Notamacropus eugenii: one gene and its partners. The protein of the gene in region 1 interacts with the protein of each later gene in a pairwise test. Links are inferred from orthologs where the notes say so. Each region holds a gene or a part of one and is shown on either strand. Other genes may lie near its edges.

Evidence for each region. The genes of interacting proteins can lie anywhere in the genome.
Region 2: the proteins of SIAH1 (region 1) and PEG10 interact in binary tests that used the Homo sapiens proteins (3 or more experiments, as listed by UniProt). The link is inferred for Notamacropus eugenii from reciprocal best matches to the Homo sapiens genes SIAH1 and PEG10.
Region 3: the proteins of SIAH1 (region 1) and CTSK interact in a two-hybrid assay, tested with the Homo sapiens proteins (2 studies listed by BioGRID). The link is inferred for Notamacropus eugenii from reciprocal best matches to the Homo sapiens genes SIAH1 and CTSK.

What each region holds. Positions count from the first base shown.
Region 1 is NC_092872.1:463,105,683-463,113,731, forward strand, and holds the start of SIAH1 (E3 ubiquitin-protein ligase SIAH1), read right to left. Parts: upstream 3,019-8,049; 5' UTR 1-3,018. UniProt on the Homo sapiens protein: E3 ubiquitin-protein ligase that mediates ubiquitination and subsequent proteasomal degradation of target proteins.
Region 2 is NC_092874.1:503,531-510,402, forward strand, and holds PEG10 (retrotransposon-derived protein PEG10), read left to right. Parts: upstream 1-4,537; 5' UTR 4,538-4,964; coding exon 4,965-5,918; 3' UTR 5,919-6,288; downstream 6,289-6,872.
Region 3 is NC_092873.1:304,709,495-304,716,685, reverse strand, and holds the start of CTSK (cathepsin K), read left to right. Parts: upstream 1-4,107; 5' UTR 4,108-4,151; coding exon 4,152-4,378; intron 4,379-5,544; coding exon 5,545-5,595; intron 5,596-6,116; coding exon 6,117-6,246; intron 6,247-6,811; coding exon 6,812-6,934; intron 6,935-7,191. UniProt on the Homo sapiens protein: Thiol protease involved in osteoclastic bone resorption and may participate partially in the disorder of bone remodeling. Displays potent endoprotease activity against fibrinogen at acid pH. May play an important role in extracellular matrix degradation.

The DNA.
Region 1 (8,049 bases):
CCAATATTTTCACTATCTGATTATTTCTAACTAGCAGACCTTTCAAACAGAAGTATCTTGGGTGTTACCTAGTGCAACAAGTCAGCTCTCATTTTATGGATAAGAAATCTGAGGCCCAGATAAAAGCAATTTGTTCAAAGGCAGAGTCAAGACTAGATTCCCAGAATGCCTGAAAATTCAAAACTTGATTAGCTTAGTGTCACAAAAAAGAAAAATACCAAAATATTCACCTTTCAAGAAATTAATTATAAAATTAGAATGGCTTGTAAAGTAATCAAAAATGGCTATCAATTAAACTGAAATGTTCAAACACACTTTAAAAAACTTGGGGCAGTTTAGGTGGCACAGTGGATAGAGAGAGGCTGGCACTGGAGTTAGCAGGACCTGAGTTCAATTTTAGCTCCAAACGGAATAAATTGCCTCCACAAAAAAACATTTTCCAGTAGAAGACAGTTAAAATGGTGACTTTATTAAAGTAGTTTCTCACTAACCAGAACACAACAGAACTACTTTTACTCAAAGTTGAACATAACTTTACCAATAATGTTATTTAAACAAATTACCAGGGTGGTACACCAAAAGAATCAGCAAAAACCAGATATCATGGCAGTTCTTAAAGATTCATTTTCAATAATTTAATGGCAAACAAAAAAGTAAATTAACATAAATTATGCCTAAACTAATGCCAAGTCATTCATCTAGTTTTTTCTAACTTAACTTACATTTGTTCAATTTCATTGTTCCATTACAATTGAAAGATGAAAAAATTTTATCAAATTATTTTGTTAGCTTCATTTTCCAATGCCACGTCACAGTCAAAAGTTTTCTTTTTTTTAACCTCTCAACCTATGACAGTATGTAATTCAAGCTAAAGTCAATTTAAAACAAATTTCAGAAGCAAAAGTAAAACAAATCATAAACAAAGGATTACAAATTACCTCAGAGGCCATTAGTTCAATCTGTCTTCACTTTCCAAATCAGGAAATTGCAATCCAGAGACTTGTAACTTGTCTAAAGTCACACAAGTACCTGTCAAAGATGGTTTTTGAACTCAGGTCCTCTGACTCTTAGGCAGGGCTCTTTCACTCTACCACAGCGCCTCCCCAAAAAGGTCTTTGACTAGCTGTTCAAGTGACATCACATTTGAAAACTGCTTTTTTCCTTAAAACAAATGTCTATTTTATACCTCATTTCAACTTTGTTTTTCTTTAAATAGTTATTTCATTTTTTTTAGTAAAACCAGGTCTATACATATTATATATGCAAAGTAAACACTATTACAAAGCTATCATAACTGGGATCAAGCAAACCAATCAGGAGATGCCTTACTTACTAGAATAATTTGAGACACTAGGAAAAGAACCAACTTGATAAAAACTGGCAGAGATGCAGCTATAAAGTGGAGGTATGGAGATTAAATGTCAGATCCTAAACCTATTCCAATAAAATGGATGCCTCCCTCCCAAGCCACTGAAGTCAATGAAACACTTTTTTGAAATGGACCTTTTTTAATGCACAGAAGGAAGCACAGACAACACTGTATTGAAAGTAACATACAGAACTACATTTTTTCTCCACAAAAGCAAGTAGTATAAAATGGAAATTCACAATTTCAAAGGGAGGGGTTTTTTTGTATTCTGCTGTGTAAAGATACTTTTGGTGTTTTAAGTTCAGAATTTTTAAAAAGAGAAGAAAAAATGGTGTACTTAAGATAAATGCTGTAAACTGATGCTTGTTTTATTCGTATAATTTGGGGAGGGGGGGGGTGATACTGATCTCTATGCCTAACATCTATTAGTAGTTCTAAGCCCTCTGTAAAAACTGGGATTTTGAAACTAAGAAATGTGCTGAATCAAGAAATATGAGCCATTTTTTTAAGGCATCTGGGAATTATTGAACATGGGCTTATAATGAAGATTTCTGCTGGTGCATGGAAGCCCAGGACCCTTTCTAGAATTGGGGATAAGGGCAAATGTGCCAAATGGAACCCAGTAATTGCTGAGAAGAGGACAGAGGAGTTGCATTAATGTAAAAGGAAAGGCAACTTCCATTCTCAGTACCATGTAACTTTCTGTCCTACTAGGCCTATACTCCAAAGAAATCAAAGAGGGAAAGGACCCTATGCACCCCCTCCCTAAGTAAAATTATGGTAGTTTTTTATAACGGCAAAGAATTGGAAACTAAGGGAGTACCCTTAGAGGGAATACCTGAACAAATAATAGTATACAAATGTAATGGAATACTATTATTCCATAAGAAATTTAAAAAGAGAGAGTTTCAGAGAAATCTGTTAAGACTTGTATGATGCAGGGTAAAGCGAGGACAACAGAAAACAATTTATACAATAACATTTTAAGAACTACTTAAAGACTTAAGAATTATGATAAATGCAATGATCATCCATGATTCCCAGAGCACCAGTGATGAAAAATGATAGTCATCTGAGAATGCACTCAAGATGCAGAGTGATACATACACATTTTTAACATAGCACAGAAATTTATTTTTCTTTACTGTACATATTTGTTAAAGAATTTTCTTTTTCTTTTTCTTTGGGGGGGGGGGATAGGGAAGTGTGAAGGAAAGAAAATAAATGCTGAATGATGGGAAAAAAATGTCTTGTTTTTTTTAATTGTTAAGACTCTCTGATACTTCCACTGAAGAGGTGAGGAGCCCCTAAGAAGGCATAGGGGAGGCTGATACAAAGGCTCAGGCACAGGATCTCATTTTTTTAAAGGTACATGTACATATATATCCATTTAAATAGCCAATTTGCCAACCTTTTCCCGTATCTACTAAAAAAGGTAATAAACATGCTCATTCAGTGTAAGATTCTATTACACAGCATTCTAGATCCAGAATCCTGGTCTACTAAGCAAGTCAAATTAACTAAAATGTATCAAAAATTACATTCCCCCTCCCCAACAAGGAAAAAATAATAATAGTCACTGAAACCAATCACATACTAATGGGAGTTTAATAAGATTTATCTGTTGCTAATTTCTGTTAAAATTTTTATCCTGGACCCTTACTTTGATGGAGGTGTAATTTTATCCACATGGGTTCTCCCTCAGATACCACCAGCTGCGATCCACACATGATTTCTCATCTTTTTAAAGTCATTTATCCAGGTCTCATCATAATTTAGGGAGGAAAGGTTCCACCCAACTTGCTATGCACCTCCTTAGCTTCTCTTCATGCTGTATGGATAAGAAAAGAGCATTTGAGCTGTCCATCCTACAATCTGACAATGACAGACCCCACCTTCTTTTTTTGATCATGTATTTCTTACATCTTTACAAATCAGAATTTGCACAAGAGAAATAATTGAACACCTACTCATGTCCACGCTTCTTCATTGCCTGTTGGATGACCCTCAACTTTAATTCTTCTGAAACTACTGTATTTCATGACTCACAACCAATAATCATAACTGTAAAGATACAAGTATAAAAAAAATGAGTCTCAAAAAAAGTCAAAAGGCATTCCTTTCTAGGAAGGTTCCATATGAACCAAAATAATCAATGATATTTTACGGTAGCAGAAAAAGTAGGAATGGTTAAACCAATGAGGCTACACGAAGCTAATGTACTATTACTGTGCAGTTTGTGGTCGTCTTTCCTTGCCAAGGAAGACCATGCCATCAGAGAAATTATGACATGATTTTGTTTTGAGTGAGGGAGGGCTGTGCAGGTCACCAGCCTCACTTCTCCTCCAGAAAAATCTGAATCCAGTGACCAGACATTCATCAGGATGACTGGAGATGACCCAGGATGCAATGGGAGACCTTGAGCAGTCTTTGCAGGTACTCCCTTAGGGTGAGGCAATGCCCATTCATTGAAAAGGCCTGTTTAAGAAGTAGCCAGGACATGGCCCCTTTAAGGAGGCCAAGAAAAAGAAAAGACATCAGGCTGGGTGGGAAACAACAACAGTTACTGTTGATAACCACTGCAAAGTTAGGAGGGTCGAGAGAAACCCTTAGGTAGGGGCCCAATGGCATCCCTGTTTCAGAGTGAAGTAGGTTTATGGTTTGGGGAGAGGACAGGACAGGACAGAACAGAACAGGAGCAAAGAAGAGCATTCATTGAATAGGACTCTTTAAGAAGTAGCCAGGGCATGGCCCCTGTGAGGCTGGTGACCTGCACACCCTCCCTCACTCAAAACAAAGTCAAGTGCAACTCATGTCATCATTTCTCTGATGACATGGTCTTCTTTGGCAATGAAGGACAAAACACAATCCTGTGAGTAGATGCAGGGGCTGAATGGGGGGGTGGGGGAAGAACACAGGGAGCTGGGTAATTCTAACTCCTCCTCTCCTGTCTGCTTCCCCCTCCCCTTTCTTCTCCTCTCCAAAGGACTGTAAATATGGATGGCCAAAAGATGCCCCGTTTTACTGGCTCCTTTCCTTCCCTTCCCCTTCTCCTGTTCTGTCCTGTTCTTTCCTCTTCCCAAACCTTAAACCTCCTGCAGTCTGAAACTGGGAAGCCAATGGGACCCTGCCTAAAGGCTCCTTTTGACCCTCCTAGCTTTGGAGTGATTATCAATTGTTGCTGTTTCTCACCCAGCCAGATGATTGTGTATTACTGTACATAAGAAATGTAAAAAATTCAAATATGGATGGGAAGACATATGAATTGATGCAGAATAAGGAAAATAATACACAAAACAACTACAACAATGTAAATTGAAAGAGCAACAAAAATAGAAATCAAGTGCTAAAGAGAAAGTTAAAAACTACACTTTTCCTCCTTTTCAGAGATGGGGAACTTATGGAACACTGCATATATTGTCAGACTCAGTTCACGTGGATTAGTTTAGTTGAACTCCCTAAGTCTTTTTTGTTCCTTCTCAAAGTTATTCTTTGTTAGAGAGGATGGCTCTTTGGGTATGGTAAATGCTGGAAGGATATACTGGGAGATTAAGATGACATAATAAAAACAAAATACTTAAGTATCTCCATCCCCACCCCTGCCTCCACCTCCAATCCACCCTTGTGACAGAGCTGCCAAAGTGATTTTCCTAAAGCACAAATCTGTCTTGTCATTTCCCTACTCAGTCAGCTCCAGTCGCTACCCTATTTATTCCAGGCACAAATATAAACACCTCAGTTTGTTACTTAAAGTCCTTCACAATATAACCCTAACCTATTTTCCAGCTGTACTGCATATTAATCTATTTAATCAACACTAAGGTCCACACAGCAAGGAGGCTTTCTAATTGTTCCCCATAACCTATATGCCTGTAATGTACCTCCTAATGACCTCTGTCTCTCAAAATTCTTACTTTCCTTCAATGCTCAGTTCAAGTCCCACCTTTTACATTAAGGATTCTAACTTCCCAGCTTGGTCATTAGAAGCATTATGAAATTTCCCAAAGGCAATCTGACTGGTTCTCCTCCTCCAATTCAGTTCTCAGATCAGTGCACTGTCCATTCACAATGTCTGCTCAGTATTTATGTACTGATGGAGGACTTATGGGCTGTCCATTCAACTGCATGTCAGACTCAGTTCATGTCTTACTATCCAGGATTTCTTCACCCAGTGTAGAGGCAAATTCTCTTGGACCATTAGGGACCTCATTTAGGAGGTTCTACAACGATCTGAGATTTGATGAAACCAGAACAAAATAATCTGCAAACAAAAGTACCTGAAGAGGACTGTAAGATCTTATATTTGTCTTAACCTTTCAGTCAACTGTGTGTTCTTAAGAATGTATCTGGTACAGAATATCCTTTAGGAGTGCCTAACTGTTCAAACTTTCATCAATGATGTCCTTAATGTGTGTATGGATTCAGCTCATAAAAAATTTGAATAGGAAAACAGGGACCTAGGTCAGTAGCTAACATTCTGCCATTTTGGGGGGTAATAAAAGTCGAGTTTTTCCTTTCATATTTCTTTTATGTAATGATTTTTCTTTTTTTTTTTTTAGCAAGGACAGTGCTATTAAGAGTACAAACGTGGCAATGTTGTGGCCGAAGGCACTCACTGATGATGAAAAAGTTCATAAAAATCTTTACAGTCAAGACGGGAAAGACACACAGGAAAAGATGCCCAAGTAAGCTGGAGCAGAAAGAAAATGTACAAAATGACAACAATGTAAACTTAAACGGCAGCAAACAAAAAAAAAAAAAAATGGTACTGAGAGCAATGTAATTATAATGATCCAGCTTGGCCCAAGAGAAGAGTTAAGGAAATGTACTTCCCTCCCTTCTTGGGGGAGGGGAGGATGGGTAGAAGGGAAAGAAAGAGAAGGGAATTGGTATGAATGGAAAAAAATACACATAGCATCAAATACGACTTATGTGTTGGGTTTTCTGAATGACTTTCCTTCACCACTTCTTTATTCTGTAACAAGGAATGGCTTTGTAGGGTAGCAGAAGAAAAATTTTCAGAAATATAAGTGATTTAAAAACAAAAAAAATTTATCTACAATAATTTTTTATTTTAAAATCTTTTTTATCATTCTTGTTAGTTTTTCATCTGTTCTTACACCTTCATCCTTAAACACCCTTCATCTTCTACCATGATTCTCTGGCAAGGTTTAACCAAAAAAATTTTATTTTAAACAGGTGTGGCCATGCAAAGAGTCATGGCAGTCTATAATAGCAAGAAAACAAAGATGTCTGCTGGGTCAAGTGATTTCTAGACTCTGGGATTTCTTATATTAATTAGGTTGCAACAACTTCCTCATGCAACGTTCAAATTCTGTGTTGATGTCTGTTTTATCTATTTCTTATTTGTGTCAACTGCCTGATTAAGTTAGTCAGGTTAGAGAACATTCAATTACAAACACATATCTTCTCTCATTTGTATTGTCTTTACTGAAGATAAATACCTGTAAGACCCACATACTTCAAGAATTATTGTGAGGTTAAAACAAGGCAATGTGTATAAAAATACTTTGCAAACCTCAAAGCTACATAAATGAAATCATTGTTTTAGTTATCTGGACAAATTCTCTCTCCTGACCTCTGTTGGTACCTTTCTTGAATTTCCTCTGTATCACTTTCCCTCCCAGAGAATCATCTCAGAGGACAAAAATTATTTTTAATCTTTGAAGATTTTATTTTAGAAAATAAAAAGGGGGAAATAGCAGCAAAATCAGTGATAATGTTCTAAAATGGCAAATTCCTTTCACCTCCCTCTCTGCCTCTCCCCTCCCACCCAATCCCCACTGTACTCTCCCACCCCTGTCCCCCAAATAATAAAGTAGCTAATAAGGGAGAGAGCTACCTTCTCATTTCATCTTTGGGGAGAATGGTTCTTTGTAATTTTGTACTGTTCATTTTCTATTGTTTTGTGGTAGGGATTTTTTCTGCTTACATTGTTTTGAGAAAGACAGAGAGTTTGCACAGTCTGGCAAATATTGGACACAGACCAGTATCTTACATCATTTACCATGGTCAAAATAGATACATGACCTAAATATAAAAGGAGATATCATATGAAAATTAGAAGAACATGAAATATTACCTACCAGACTTAGGGATAGAGAAAGAATTAATGAATAAACAAGAAATAGAGAGCATTACTAGATGTAAAATGGACAATTTTGATTATATTTAATTTTAAAGGGTTTGTACACAGGACACAGAGGCAGTTTTTCGATGAATAAATCAAAATCATAGATAAAAAATGCTTTAAATCATTATTGATTAGAGAAATGCAAATTAGAACAACTTTTTAGATATCATCTCACCTATCAATTTGACTAAAATAATCAAAGGGGAAAATGACAACGTTGCAGGGGATGTGGCAAAATTGGCACCCTAATACACTGGGGTAGACATGTGAACTGATCTAGTCATTTTGGATAACAATGTAGAATTTTGCCCAAATGTTATAAAACTGTGATCCAGAAATATTTTACAATTAATTTTCATTTTCAACATTCACTTCCATAAGATTTTGAGTTTTAAATTGTCTCCCTCTCCCTCTACTCCCCCTTCTCCAAGATGGCATACAATCTGATATAGGCTCTACTTATACATTCATATTAAACATTTTCACATTAGTCATGATGTAAAGAAGAATTAGAACTAATAGGAGG
Region 2 (6,872 bases), on another chromosome or scaffold:
ATCACCTCCTCTAGCCCCACCCCCCATCCCTCCCACCACCTTCCAAGCCAATACCCTCCCCAGCTCATTAAAGTTTAGGGTTAGTGTTGTGGGTCACCACTAACCCTAACACCGCCCTGTTACTAAAGTCTTATAGCCTCAACTCCCTTCCTAGCTCTTTATTATCTAGCTCCCCCAACCTATCCCCATTACTTCAGTCCAATAGCCTGAAACCCCCTCCCCATCTCTTTATAATCCACCCTCTCACACAACCTATCCTCATTACAAAAAGTCCCTAGGGTTAGGGTTAGCACAGCCCCGCCCCCATTTTTAAACCCAGTCCCCCCCTCCCACAACCTGCCCTCCTTAAAGTGGTCATCTTGTCTCATACCCCCTCCCCTTCTCTTTATAAATCCAGCTCCACCCTGTTGTGCCCTATTCTCAAATCCCCTTTTATCTACCCCCTCCCACCCTTATTACCACACTCCTCTAATCTCAGCCACCTCCCCAGTTTTTAAATATTTTAACCCCTCCAGAAAACCTGCTCTTCTTTCTGTAGGGTTAGGATTAGCAACGCCCCCCCCCCACATCTTCCCCTCATTACCACAAGCTACCTCCCCATTTGGGGGCATTTTAGCCCCTCCTCACAGCCTCCTTCATTACTGCAGGCCTCCCACATCAACACCTCCCCCCTCCCACAACCTGTTCCTCAAACCCCCTCCCCTTTGCCATATTATCCCTTTCTACCTACCCTCAATGAATCTTCTGGCCTCAAGCCCCCTCCCCTTCTTTTTATATTCTAGTCCCCTCCCCTATATCTTGCTTTCATTACTACAGGCCTTGAATCTCAATCTCCCTCCCCATTTAAAAAATCTAGCCCCCCCCTACAATCTACCCTCTAATCCTTCTGTGCCCCCCAATCTATTATCTAGCCCTTCCACAAGCTACCCTCTATCCTCATATGCCCCTCCCTCTATATTATCTAGCCCCCCCACAATCTACCCTCTATCCTCATGTGCCCCCCATCTATTATCTAGCCCCCCCACAACCTACCTTCTATTCTCCTGTGCCCCCCGACAACCTACCCTCTCTCCTCATGTGCCCCTCCCTCCATTTTTATTATCTAGCCCCCCACAACCTACCCTCTTTCCTTATGTGCCCCTCCCTGTGTATTATCTAGTCCCCCCACAACCTATCCTCCATCCTCATGTGCCCCTCCCTATATATTATCTAGCCCCCCCACAACCTACACTCTCTCCTCATGTGCCCCTCCCTCCATTTTTATCTAGCCCCCCACAACCTACCCTCTCTCCTCATGTGCCCCTCCCTCCATTTTTATTATCTAGCCCCCCACAACCTACCCTCTTTCCTTATGTGCCCCTCCCTGTGTATTATCTAGTCCCCCCACAACCTATCCTCCATCCTCATGTGCCCCTCCCTATATATTATCTAGCCCCCCCACAACCTACACTCTCTCCTCATGTGCCCCTCCCTCCATTTTTATTATCTGGCCCCCCACAACCTACCCTCTTTCCTTATGTGCCCCTCCCTATGTATTATCTAACCCCCCCACAACCTACCCTCTCTCCTCATGTGCCCTTCCCTGTATATTATCTAGCCCCCCACAACCTACCCTCTCTCCTCATGTGCCCCTCCCTATATATTATCTAGCCCCCCCACAACCTACCCTCTTTCCTTATGTGCCCTTCCCTGTGTATTATCTAGTCCCCCCACAACCTATCCTCTATTTTCATGTGCACCTCCCTATATATTATCTAGCCCCCCCCACAACCTACCCTCTCTCCTCATGTGCCCCTCCCTATGTATTATCTAACCCCCCCACAACCTACCCTCTCTCCTCATGTGCCCCTCCCTGTATATTATCTAGCCCCCCACAACCTACCCTCTCTCCTCATGTGCCCCTCCCTATATATTATCTAGCCCCCCTACAACCTACCCTCTCTCCTCATGTGCCCCTCCCTATGTATTATCTAACCCCCCCACAACCTACCCTCTCTCCTCATGTGCCCCTCCCTATATATTATCTAGCCCCCCACAACCTACCCTCTCTCCTCATGTGCCCCTCCCTATATATTATCTAGCCCCCCCACAACCTACCCTCTCTCCTCATGTGCCCCTCCCTATGTATTATCTAACCCCCCCACAACCTACCCTCTCTCCTCATGTGCCCCTCACTGTATATTATCTAGCCCCCCACAACCTACCCTTTCTCCTCATGTGCCCCTCCCTATATATTATCTAGCCCCCCCACAACCTACCCTCTCTCCTCATGTGCCCCTCCCTGTATATTATCTAGCCCCCACAACCTACCCTCTCTCCTCATGTGACCCTCCCTGTGTATTATCTAGCCCCCCCACAACCTACCCTCTTTCCTCATGTGCCCCTCCCTATGTATTATCTAGCCCCCCCACAACCTACCCTCTCTCCTCATGTGCCCCTCCCTATATATTATCTACCCCCCCACAACCTACCCTCTCTCCTCATGTGCCCCTCCCTATATATTATCTAGCCCCCCCCACCCTACCCTCTCTCCTCATGTGCCCCTCCCTCCATTTTTATTATCTAGCCCCTCCCACCCTACCCTCTCTCCTCATGTGCCCCTCCCTCCATTTTTATTATCTAGCCCCCCACAACCTACCTTCTTTCCTCATGTGCCCCTCCCTATATATTGTCTAGCCCCCCCCACATGCACACTCTATCCTCATATGCCCCTCCGTATTTATTGTCTGCCCCCCCCACAACCCACCCTAATTACTTCAATCCTCTGATCTCAGACCCCTCCCCATGTCTTCTGACTCCTACCCTCATTGCTACAGTCTCCTAGCTGCCAACCCTCCCCATCTCTTTATAATGCAGCCCTCCCTCATTACTAGTCATCCAATATCACACCCCCTCCCCATTTTTAAATTTTGAGCCCTACCCCCCAACCTACTCTTCTTACGATACATGTCTAGCATCACCTCCCCGAGCGCCCCCACCCCTCCCACCACCTTCCCTCATTACTATGGTCCTGTAGAAGCCAATCCCCTCCCCAGCACATTAAAGTTTAGGCTTAACCCCTCCCAGTCTATTTGATATCTAGGCCCCTGATGCTCCTCCTGTTCCTAAAGTCTTATAACCTTAGCCCCCCCCCCCTCCCCCTTATCTGCCCCCACAACCTACCCCCATCACTACAGGCTTCTTTGTTGAATCTCCTTCCCATCCCTTTGTAACAGAGCCCCCACCTCCCACCAGCTACCTGCATTGCCACATTCCTCCAATCTCAGAGCCCACTGCAGCTCTTCAGGCTCCACTCCTGGGAATATGCCCCCATTGCTGGGGCCTTCCAGCCACAAACAGCCCCTACTGCTTCCCTAGGGTAGGGTTTGCAAACCCTACCCCCATCTCTTAACATCTTAGCAAACCCCCCCACATCCTCCCCTCATTACCACAAGCCCCCTCCCCATTTGGGGGTCTTTTAGCCCCTCACAGCCTCCTTCATTACTGCAGGCCTCCCACATCAACACCTCCCCCCTCCTACAACCTGTCCCTAATACTGTTGCCCTCTTGCCTCAAACCCCCTCCCCATTTCTTTTTATCTCTCCCTTCCTTATACCCCCCTCAATGAGTCTGCTGATCTCAAGCCCCCTCCCCTTCTCTTTATAATGCAGACCCCCTGTTTTTTATTTTTGTATTGATTTGATTTGATTTGATTGATTTTATTATTACAGGCTTCTGATCTCAAACTCTACTCATTTTTTTAATCTAGCCCACCCCCCAAACCTACCCTCATTTAAATAGTTTTTTATCCTCAAACACTCTCCTCATTTTTAAGATTTTAGCTCCCCCAAGTAGCATCACCTCCCCCTTCTCTCAATATTTTGCCACTCCCAGGCCCCCCCCCATTACTGTAATCCTGCAGACTCAAAGTCCACCCCTTTCTGTTTGGAGTCTAGCCCCCTCTCAATGCCACTCCCCTCCCCATCCCTTTATAATCCAGCCCTCCAATATCCTCCCCTCATCACTAAACTCTTCTAATCTCAGGACCCCCTCCTCACAACCTACAGGTGTCCTATATGAATACCACCTCCTCTCCCCCTCCCACAACCTAACCTCAACCCCCCCTTCCCTTTTCCTTTTCCAATGATCCCATCAGCCTACCTACAATGCTCTAGGCTTCTGCCTTCAAGCCCCCTTCCCATCTTTATGACCCAGTCTCAGTCTTCTCCCAATGGAGCCCCCTCACAACACTGCCCTCCAGTAGCCTCCCAGCCCCTCCCCACCTCCTTCGAGTCTTCTCCCTCTAGAGTCATTTGATCAGAGTCTCTGAATACTTTCTGTCTTTTGCTTCTGTGATCTGATGCTGGCATGTGCCACAGACTTGCTCCTCTCCATGTCTCCTCCATGCCTCTAGCTCAGCTGACATTCTCTGTCTTCCTTATTCACAGGCACCAGTGACTTTGGACTTCCTTCAGCAGACAGTAGAACCTACAAGTGCTGAGTGCGAGGGAGCAGCCGGATCTGGGAGTCACGTCAAACCAGACCCCCCACCCTGGGGTGGGGGGGAGGGCTCCCGGAGGAGGAGGTCAGCACCTCTGCAGAAGGACAACAGCCTGTGCCCAGACCAACCACACTCTGCCAGCTAGATAATGTGATTCAACCGTTCAGAGGTACTGGTTCAGATCACTTCCTATCTGAACTGGCCAGGTATGGCATGGAGCCCTCAGGGGCTGCCAGGGGACTTTCACTGGAGCCTCAGCTGACCAACTGACTCTTGGCCTCGTCGCCCTTTCTTCTCATTGGTGGTGGACTCTAAAACAGTAGGACTCTTCCTTGGTCTGTTGGGTCTCTCTTTGGGGCTCTCTGGCCAAGCTCCACTGTCCCTTGCCTACTGTCTCTACCCATTCTGGTCTAGCCAGAGTGATTGAGCCCCACCCCCGGGGCATCTTTGACCGTGCTTACACTGATTCCCAGGATCTTTGAATATGCCAACCAGCACTGGTTCCGGTGCTTCGGCCCGCCGCTGCAGGATGGAGGACCTCACAGCTGAGGTCCAGGCCCTGCGGGCCCAGCTCCTCCAGCAGACCGAGGAGAACAGCTCCCTGCAGACCCAGCTCCTCCAGCTGTCAGAGGAGAATGCCAACCTCCGGGGACAGCTCCAGGCCACCCCGGTAGGGGCCATGGGCCTCTCTGCCCCTCGTGGTAAGTGCCCCGTCGGCCTCCCTGAGAAGTTCGATGGGACCCCCGAGATGCTTCCCAGCTTTTTGGCCCAGAGCCGCCTGTACATGGAGCTGAGGCCTGAAGACTTTCCCACAGAGCACGTCCGCGTGTGCTTCCTCACCAGCTTGCTCAAGGGGCGCGCGGCCCGCTGGGCCACCCCCTACCTACTGGAGTCCAGTCCTCTGCTGAACAACTATGAGGCCTTCATCGATGAGTTCAAGCAGGCCTTCGAGGACCCCCAGCGCAAAGAGGCCGCCAACCGCAAGATCCGGCGTCTCCGCCAAGGCCTCGGCTCCGTCCTAGACTACGCCAGTGCTTTCCGCCTCTGTGCCCAGGACCTGGACTGGAATGAGCCGGCCTTCATCGACCAGTTCCTGGAGGGCCTCAGTGATCCCATCCAAGATGAGCTCGCTCGCGTGGAGGTGGCCCGATCGCTTCCCGCACTCATCAACCAGTGTCTGCGCATTGAGGGAAGGCTGAATTCCCGGAGAGGGGCATCTCCTGCCAGCTCTCCTCAGCCCCAGAGCGCCTCGTCCCCTCCAGTCGAGTCGGAATCAAACCAGCTGGTCACTCGGCCTCAGTTGACCCCAGAAGAGAGGGAACGTCGCCGAAGACTGAACCTGTGCATGTACTGCGGACTGGCCGGCCATTACGTGGACAACTGTCCATCCAAGAAGCCAAAGTCTTCTGGGGTGGGAAACTCCCTGGCCCCGCTGTAGAGGGACCCCCAGCGCCCGGGCCTGAACCAGAAAGGTCCCCCCCAGATGACGCGTCATCTTCTCACTTGCAACTACTGATCACGTTACATCTCCCGGACGGCTCCTACTGTACCGTCCGCGCCATGATTGACTCCGGTGCCTCCGGCAATTTTATTGACCAAGATTACGTTGCACAGACTGGAATCCCAGTAAAGATTAAGTATTGGCCGGTGCTGGTGGAAGCAATTGACGGACGGCCCTTGGCCTCTGGCCCAGTGACCCAGGAAACCCAGGAGCTGGTGGTAGACATTGGGGAACACCGTGAGAGACTCTCCTTCGATGTGACCCAGTCCCCCTTCTTCCCTGTGGTTCTGGGGGTGCGGTGGCTCACCCAGCACAACCCCTCCATCATGTGGAGTTCCCGCACCATCGTTTTTGACTCAGAGTATTGCCAGCACAACTGTCGGGCTGCTCTGCTGATGGCACCGAGCCTGGTCCCTGGAGGAATGGACGTTCAGGAAGTTCTTGTGCCGATGGCCCAGGAAGCCATCCCATACCACGCACCGTACAGTTACACTGTAGCCCCCACCGGCTACCCCTACGCAGTGTCGGACCCAGAACTGATGGCTGTCCGAGACTTCCTGGCCAAGAATGTGAAATGGGTTTGTGTCCAGCCGGCCTCCCCATTGGGGGCCCCAGTTGTCATCATGAAGAAAGTGGGAGAGCTATATCTTTGCAATGATTCTCAAAACCCAAATGCCATTGCCGTCTGGAACCAGTATCCACCACCTTCAACTCCTTACGTATTGTACCAGCTCCAAGCAGCCCCCATCTACAGGACCAGGTCCCCAGCAGGGTACACCACCTGGTCAATGTTGGGAAGGGAAATGAATGGAAAACTGTGCTTGATCCCCTTCTTGGTCACCTCCAATATCCGTTGATGCTGTCCGGCTTTCGCAACGCATACTCCTATTC
Region 3 (7,191 bases), on another chromosome or scaffold:
ACTAGCACACAGATGAAAAAAGGGTTTATGATGCTACACCTTGTTTTCTGCCTAGTCTTTAGAGTCAAGTTGGGTCTCAAAAATTTTTGCTGGGAGTAGGGAGTGGCAAGTGGGTATAAATATAATAATACTATGTGGCAGATGGGTAGGAACCCATATCAAACAGGGCTTCTTAACAATTAGTGTAGCCCTCTGGTTGAGGATATAGGCTACTATTATGGCATTTGAGCCTTAGGTCACAGTGAAGTGACAACAGTGTTTTTTTCCTATTGCCTCAGGCCAGTTTTTAATTACAAGGCTGAGTTATTAAGGGCAAGATGTTTTTAATGTAGTTGTAGGTGTCTTGAAAACAGATGACCTTGGGGAGGAAGGGGGGCAATGTCATATTGATTTGGCCTCTCCTCTCCCCTTCCCTTCACCCTGGTACCAGATAGCAAAAAGACAGGGAGAAGGAGATATTTTATTTTTTAAAAATCTATGTGCACACACACACAGCATACATACATTATATATATTATATATATATTATATTTATATCACAATTTAAGAAGCCAAAAAGTTGAGTTTCCATTTGAATCTGTCTTTTGATAATCAATTATTTTTAAATGTGATTAGGACTATAATATTGTACAGTTATTGTAGGGTTTTGGGAGGGAGGGAAAAAAACTCTGGGGGGTTTTGTTCCTACTCTTCCTTCAGGGTTTTATTTTCAGTTGTGTTTATTTTTCTTGTTGGCCATTCTTTGTTACTTGGCACCTATGTCAAGTCTCATGGTGGCACAAATGATGTCATTATGTAGCAGAGATTTTAAAGCAAAGATATTTTTCCTTTTTAAAAATCCTTGTGTGTTTTAGTCTTGATTGTGACCGCACCATCCCTGCCCAGGTTTCTTGCTTAATGCTTCCTGCCAAGGTATACACAGACAGAAAGACAAAAATGTGCTGTGTGACACAGAGCACAGGTTAGCTCCACCAAAAAATACACATACTAAGACACCAAAGATAAGAAACAACTATTCCCTAAATGAGATGCTTATATAATCTGTATTTAAAAAAAAACAAACCTCAAATCAGAGCTCTGATCATTCATCTGCTTTTTTACTGGCCCTTTGATGTTGCTACTTTCAAGAAATGGAAGGGGATGGGAAGAGAGGACGCCTATATATATAGCAGAGTTCCAAGGAAGAGAGAGCTCTAAACCCTGCAGGAAAAAGTTATCTCTACTAGACTCTGACCCCAAATATCTTTATTCTCTGATGGAAAAAAATTAAGTATTGGGAGACAGGCTGTTTCTGCTTGTTCTTGGTTTCCTTCTGGGACTGTCTTCTGTAGCATGGGCTGAAGAAACTAGACTAATTTGAGCTTGAACTGCAGGGAAATCTAGGGCTAGAATCCAGCTGTGTTGGGGAAAAGAAACCAAATGTGTTTATCTTGCTGGAATCATCCTTTTTCCTTCTCCCATGTCATCTGTTTACTGGGGGAGGGGGGGGAAGGGGGGGGTTGGGGCTGAGGCAGACTCTTGTGATCTGTCACATGCTGGGAAGGGGGAGGATGGTCTAGAAGGGCTCATATGACTGGCATGTAATAATCATCAGACAATACCCATTCCTACCATTCAACACTTAAGAAAAGGGAAATCCCTTCAACCTTCCCCGTGGTCTCAATGCTTCTGGCATTGATTTATGTGTTGTCATTATTGGAATTGCTATTTCTAATTCAATTATTTTGTAGCTGAACAGTCTCCTATGTCATGAATCATTTCTTTTCCTTGAGAAAAAGGTTCCTCTATATAGGAAAGATACTATCTTGAATGGGGTCGGAGAGGTAGAGACATACTGACCTGGTGAATAACTTACAAGAGGCAGGAAGTTTGGTTACCTCACTCCATAAAGTGGCTGAATTTTGAATTTGTAAGAATTTGACAAAATGGATTGAGGGGCTGACCTTGGAATCAAGAAGATTACAATGGTTCACCTTCTGATTCTGTCACGTACTAACCAAATGGCCACAAGCCAGTTCCAGAGGAGTTCCTGATGTGCATCCCTGGGAGGAATTTGCTACCCTGATAACAGCCTTGTACCAAACACATTTAAATCCATAAGATGAATGATAAACTAGAATTTATAACATTCATGGGGTGTTTTAAGGTTTACAAAGCACTTTTATACATAATATTGTTTGATTCTTATAATAGTCCTTTGATTGAGGTATGTAATATCCCTATTTTACTGATGAAGAAATGGGCTGAGAGTTTGGTGGGACTAGGGTTGAGAGAGAACTATTTGCTTTAGGTAAAACACAAAGTCTGGGGCACGTTTTGAACATGATTTTTCGTGATTCAAGTTCTTGGGAGGATCTGCAATATACAAGGTGCTGGGGAAAAGAAAAAGATTAGATGTCTTTAAGCTTTTAATCTAGTAGAAAGAGATGTCAGTCCATCGACAAGCATTTATTAAGCATCTACAATGTGCCAAGTCCTGCTTAACAGGTACAAGGCAAAAATTACCTCAAAGACCTTACATTCACACACATACATAAAAAAAATAACCAGTCATAAGCCATTTACATGCCTACTATGTGGTAAACACTACTAACTGTTAGGGATACAAACAAAAAAGCGAAGGACCATCCCTACTTAAGCTCATGTTCTAATGGGGCACATATATAACTACATTCATACATGTACATACATTCACACATGGGTATGTACTTATTTAAATATATGTGTGTACACACATACCTATATGTGAACATACAGACCATATGTGTGTATATATATACACACATATACATACATAAACATATATACATAGACACACAGTGGTCAGACAAGAGTACCAGATGTAAGCAGAATTAAGCAGCCAGGGAAGGAGGAAGTGCTTGTTTTTTCATTGGTGTAACTGTTAAATTCTTTAGGTAAAGAGGGATGATTATTGTATGATGATCTTGAGAGAGCACAGTGAAGTAAAGTTAGAAACAGAAGGCAGACTGCCAAGGGTAGAGAAGTAAGTGTAGACCACTCCTTCAGGAAATTTGGCAGTGAAAGGAAGAAGAGAGCACAGTGCCTTGAAGTCTTCATCAGGGTGAAAATCAAGATTCTTTCTTAGGATAGGGAAGACCTTTTTAGGTGGATTTATTTATTGAGTCACTTCGGTTGTATCTGATTCTTTGTGACTCCATTTGGGGTTTTCTTGAAAAAGTTAGTGGAATGGTTTGCCAGCTTATTTGACTGATGAGGAACTGAGGCAAACAGTGACTTGCCCAGTGTCACACAGCTAGTAAGAGTCTGAGGCCAGATTTGAACCCAGAAAGATGAGTCTATCTGGCACCCCATCCATTTCACCACCAAGCTGTCCTTTTAAAGTGGATATAAATAATTAATGGAGAAGAAATGACTGAAGTTAGAGAAGAGCTTAGACTTATAGACCTTATAAATTGTTTTGTTCAATCACCTCATTTTGTGTACATAGACACACACAGACACACACAGACACACACAGACACACACACACAGACACACACACACACACACACACACACACACACACACACACCTACCCAGAAAAGTGAAATCTTTTATGTAAGACCAAACTGCTACTTAGGGGCAGAAGTAGGTCTACAATTTGGTTTTCAATGGTACTCTTCCCCAATAAGTTCTCTCAGGGTCCACAAGAACATATGATGAACACCACAGGTGGTGTAGTGGGTTACTTTTATTCAGGTGCATTAGTTCTTCTGAGAGACTTGAAGGAAAAATAGATTTGAAGAAAAAGAAGTTTCGACATCCAGGGTTAGGAGAGAGAATGGTCTCTAAAATAGGAGTGAAGGTCATCTGCTGAGAATTTCAGTGACCTAAGACATTGCTAATCTTACAGACTAAAAGAAACATTGCTCTTGTGTGTGTGTGTGTGTGTGTTTTAAAGTAAACAGTACCCCAAACGGTAGGTATTTAGTACGTGTGAAAAGTCAGTCTGGTGGGACTAGGGAGGCAAAACTAGCCTCCCACAGCCAGTACCCTTCTCAGCCAGAAGATAGAGAAGATAAAGCTTGGGAGGATCCTGTGTTGAGGCTGAATAGCCCAGCTTCCAAGACGAGTTTTCTGTGTGCCACAAAGTCATGTGAAATAACACCCAGCAACTCTTCCCTGTTGATATGCAAATCTGTTCTCCTCCTTCCCTTCTCTCTTTTGGTTTCCTTCCACTCTGCCCCTCTCCCCCCTCTTCCTCCTGGCCACTTCCCAGCCTGACAGTCCAGATTTTCCAGCCGACTGCTGGAACTGACTTCCTCAAACTTTTTGGAATAAAACTAGCATCCATAATCATCCCCCCAGATACGTGCCTGTGCCTTCCTCTCCAGACTAGAGGACAGACCATCATCAGGTAAAGCTGCGCTTTTCCTTTACCCTTCCCCTGCCCTTCCGCTCCTCATCCCTGCCTGTGGATTTCTTTAGGAAAATCAGGGGATACTACGACATGGGTGAAGTGACTTCTAGGGATAATTTTGTTGCCACATAGATATTTCTTCTTTGGAAATCTGCAATGTATCTTGTGAGTGGACTTTGTCCTAAAACTCTGAGGAGGGCAGAAGGGTTAGGGGCCTCCCACCCACTCGAATTCCCCCAAGGCTCTGCTTGTAGTTGTTTGCCTGATTTCAAAAGAGGATAGGGAGAGGAAGGATTAAGAGAGTTTAGATCTAGGGATCCTTATACTACAACACCCAAGTGGAGGGGAGAGTGTTAAAGCTATCCCATCTTTCTAAGATTTCTGGGCCTCCCAGCATGGTAACTGCTAATATTTGACATGGCTGGGGTTGTATAGAGGGTCTCTCAGCCCTGGCCCTTCCGGTACAATCATGAAAAGGACTGAAGACATGGTCAAAATGGCCCTCAGTAGCCTAAGCTTACTCAAAATTGTTAGTACCTAGGATGTCATGTGGCATGTTATTCTGCATAGCTGCTTTTGTGAAGGAGGCTTTATAACACAGTCCCACAGATCAGGGTGGGACTGAGTACTTGACCTTCAGGGGCTGCTCATGCTTGATTTTCTTGGGATGTAGAAACTGGGCTTCTGACAGTGGAAAAGAAAGGGAAATCTTTCTGACCACAGCAGCTGGTTGATATTAGAGCAGTTTCCTGAAAAAGGAGGAGGAAAAAAAAACTACAGTAGAGTTGGGAGTAGAGGAGAGGGGAGGATTTTGGAGAAGGGTTAGGGAAAGGGAGATAGAAATAAGTAAGGAGAATGGGAAGCAGAGAAAGCAAGAGAGATTGGGACAGGGAGGAAAATCCTTCCAATTAGCAAATTTTGGCTCAGCAGTCCATTCTATATCTAAGAATTTAGGAATGGGTTCTTTTGAAAGAAAAGTAGGTCAGAGTCTAAGGAGATTCACTGATCAGGTCAAAACCTCCACTTGGTGTCTATTAAAATTCTAATTTGATCTTGGCCATTCCCTTTTCCTTATCATCTCCTCTGGGCTTGCTGGGCATACTGGAGGGAGAGGGAGAAGATATTAATCAGATCATTTTTAATTTTCCCTTCCACATATGTAGAGCTAGAAGAAACCTTTGCACTGAAGACAACTCAAAGGCAAACAGTACAAAGTGAGTGCTCAGTTGAAAGGAATGGATGTATGTGGGAGGGTGAGCAGATAGAAACTTTGGAATACTCTTTAGCCCACCATCTGGTAGCTTTCTTATTTTAATTAACTATTTTCTTTCTAATTTCACTAAACTGCTGAAAAATTACAAATACTAGCCGTGCCCTCTAAATTTTATACGTTGGTGCAAAGGACTAATCGCCCTGCCTTAGACACATCTCAATATATATATTTATTTTGTTTCTCTATTGTGTGTGTTTGGGTGATGTTTTGCCAGGATAAAGTACACTGGGAGGAGTCAAGGAATCAGACAAGAAAAGCAATGTGTTTCTGTAATGTTTAGATTTTACCCAGAGCTGGGTCCCTGACTCTTATTCTTTGGTCATAAACCATTCTCAGCACTCTGTCTCCCTTCCCAAAATGACAGTTTCTCCCCACCCCCATTATTCTTGATTTGGAATTTGAATGCAGTTTTCATATATACCCCTTGCACATCCAGAATCTGGACAGTATTTCTTCCCTCAGGATGTGGGGGTTCAGCATCCTGTTATTGTTGCTGCCATCAGTGGTGAGTTCTGCTTTGTACCCAGAGGAGATGTTAGATACACAGTGGAAGTTGTGGAAGAAATCCTATGGAAAAGAATATAACAGCAAGGTATGTGGGGACCTGGAGGGAGGCCTGAGTTGTGACGATTGGAAGTATTTGAGGGGTCAAAGCTTCTTCTATCCTGTAACATTCTTTTAAGTACTAGACCCTCCCTGAAATATAAATCATTATAAATTCAATATAAATTTCCCACTTGAAGCAAATCTCCCCTGTTCTTTACTCATACTTCCCCCCTCTGACCTCCAAGCCTTACCCCAACTTGTTACCCAACCTTAATTCCCTGTTCCTTGTAGCCTTTCTAACCTTTCTTCTATAAGACTCCCCAGAATAACCCATGCCAGGTCTGTGTACTCCCTTGGTTGATATCATCCCAGGACTTATGGACTTAATATGATTATAATATTTGGCATTTCTTTATATACTAATTTCTAAGTACTCTTAAATTTTTTTTTTATGCACATATGTTTAGTTTCCTCACATTGTCCTCTCTTAGAGCATGGGAGTATCTGGCATCTTCCTTCTGACTCCCTGACAACATTTAGTATAGGTCTATACTTAGTGTAGTCTACAAAGGATGTTCAGTCAGAGTCACTGTTACCCCTGCTCTACTTAGGTGGATGAAATCTCTCGACGTCTGATTTGGGAAAAGAACCTGAAATATATTTCCACCCACAACCTGGAATTCTCTCTTGGTCTTCACACGTTTGAACTGGCTATGAACCATTTAGGAGACATGGTAAGTCTGTCTTATCCCCTAGTTTCAATTTCCTATGTAAGGGTTAAGTCTCAACCTGGCAACAGGAGCCAGACTCATCTTAAGGTTTTTTCCATTAAAAAAAATATGCCTTTTAGAATTTTTATTGCACATCATAGTCATTTTCAGATAGATTTCCTTTCCTCCACTGAGGAAATGAGCATGCCTGACAACCATGTCTGATAACGGATGCTCCTGAATCCTGTACCCACAGCACCCATTTTTCTACTAAGAGCAGG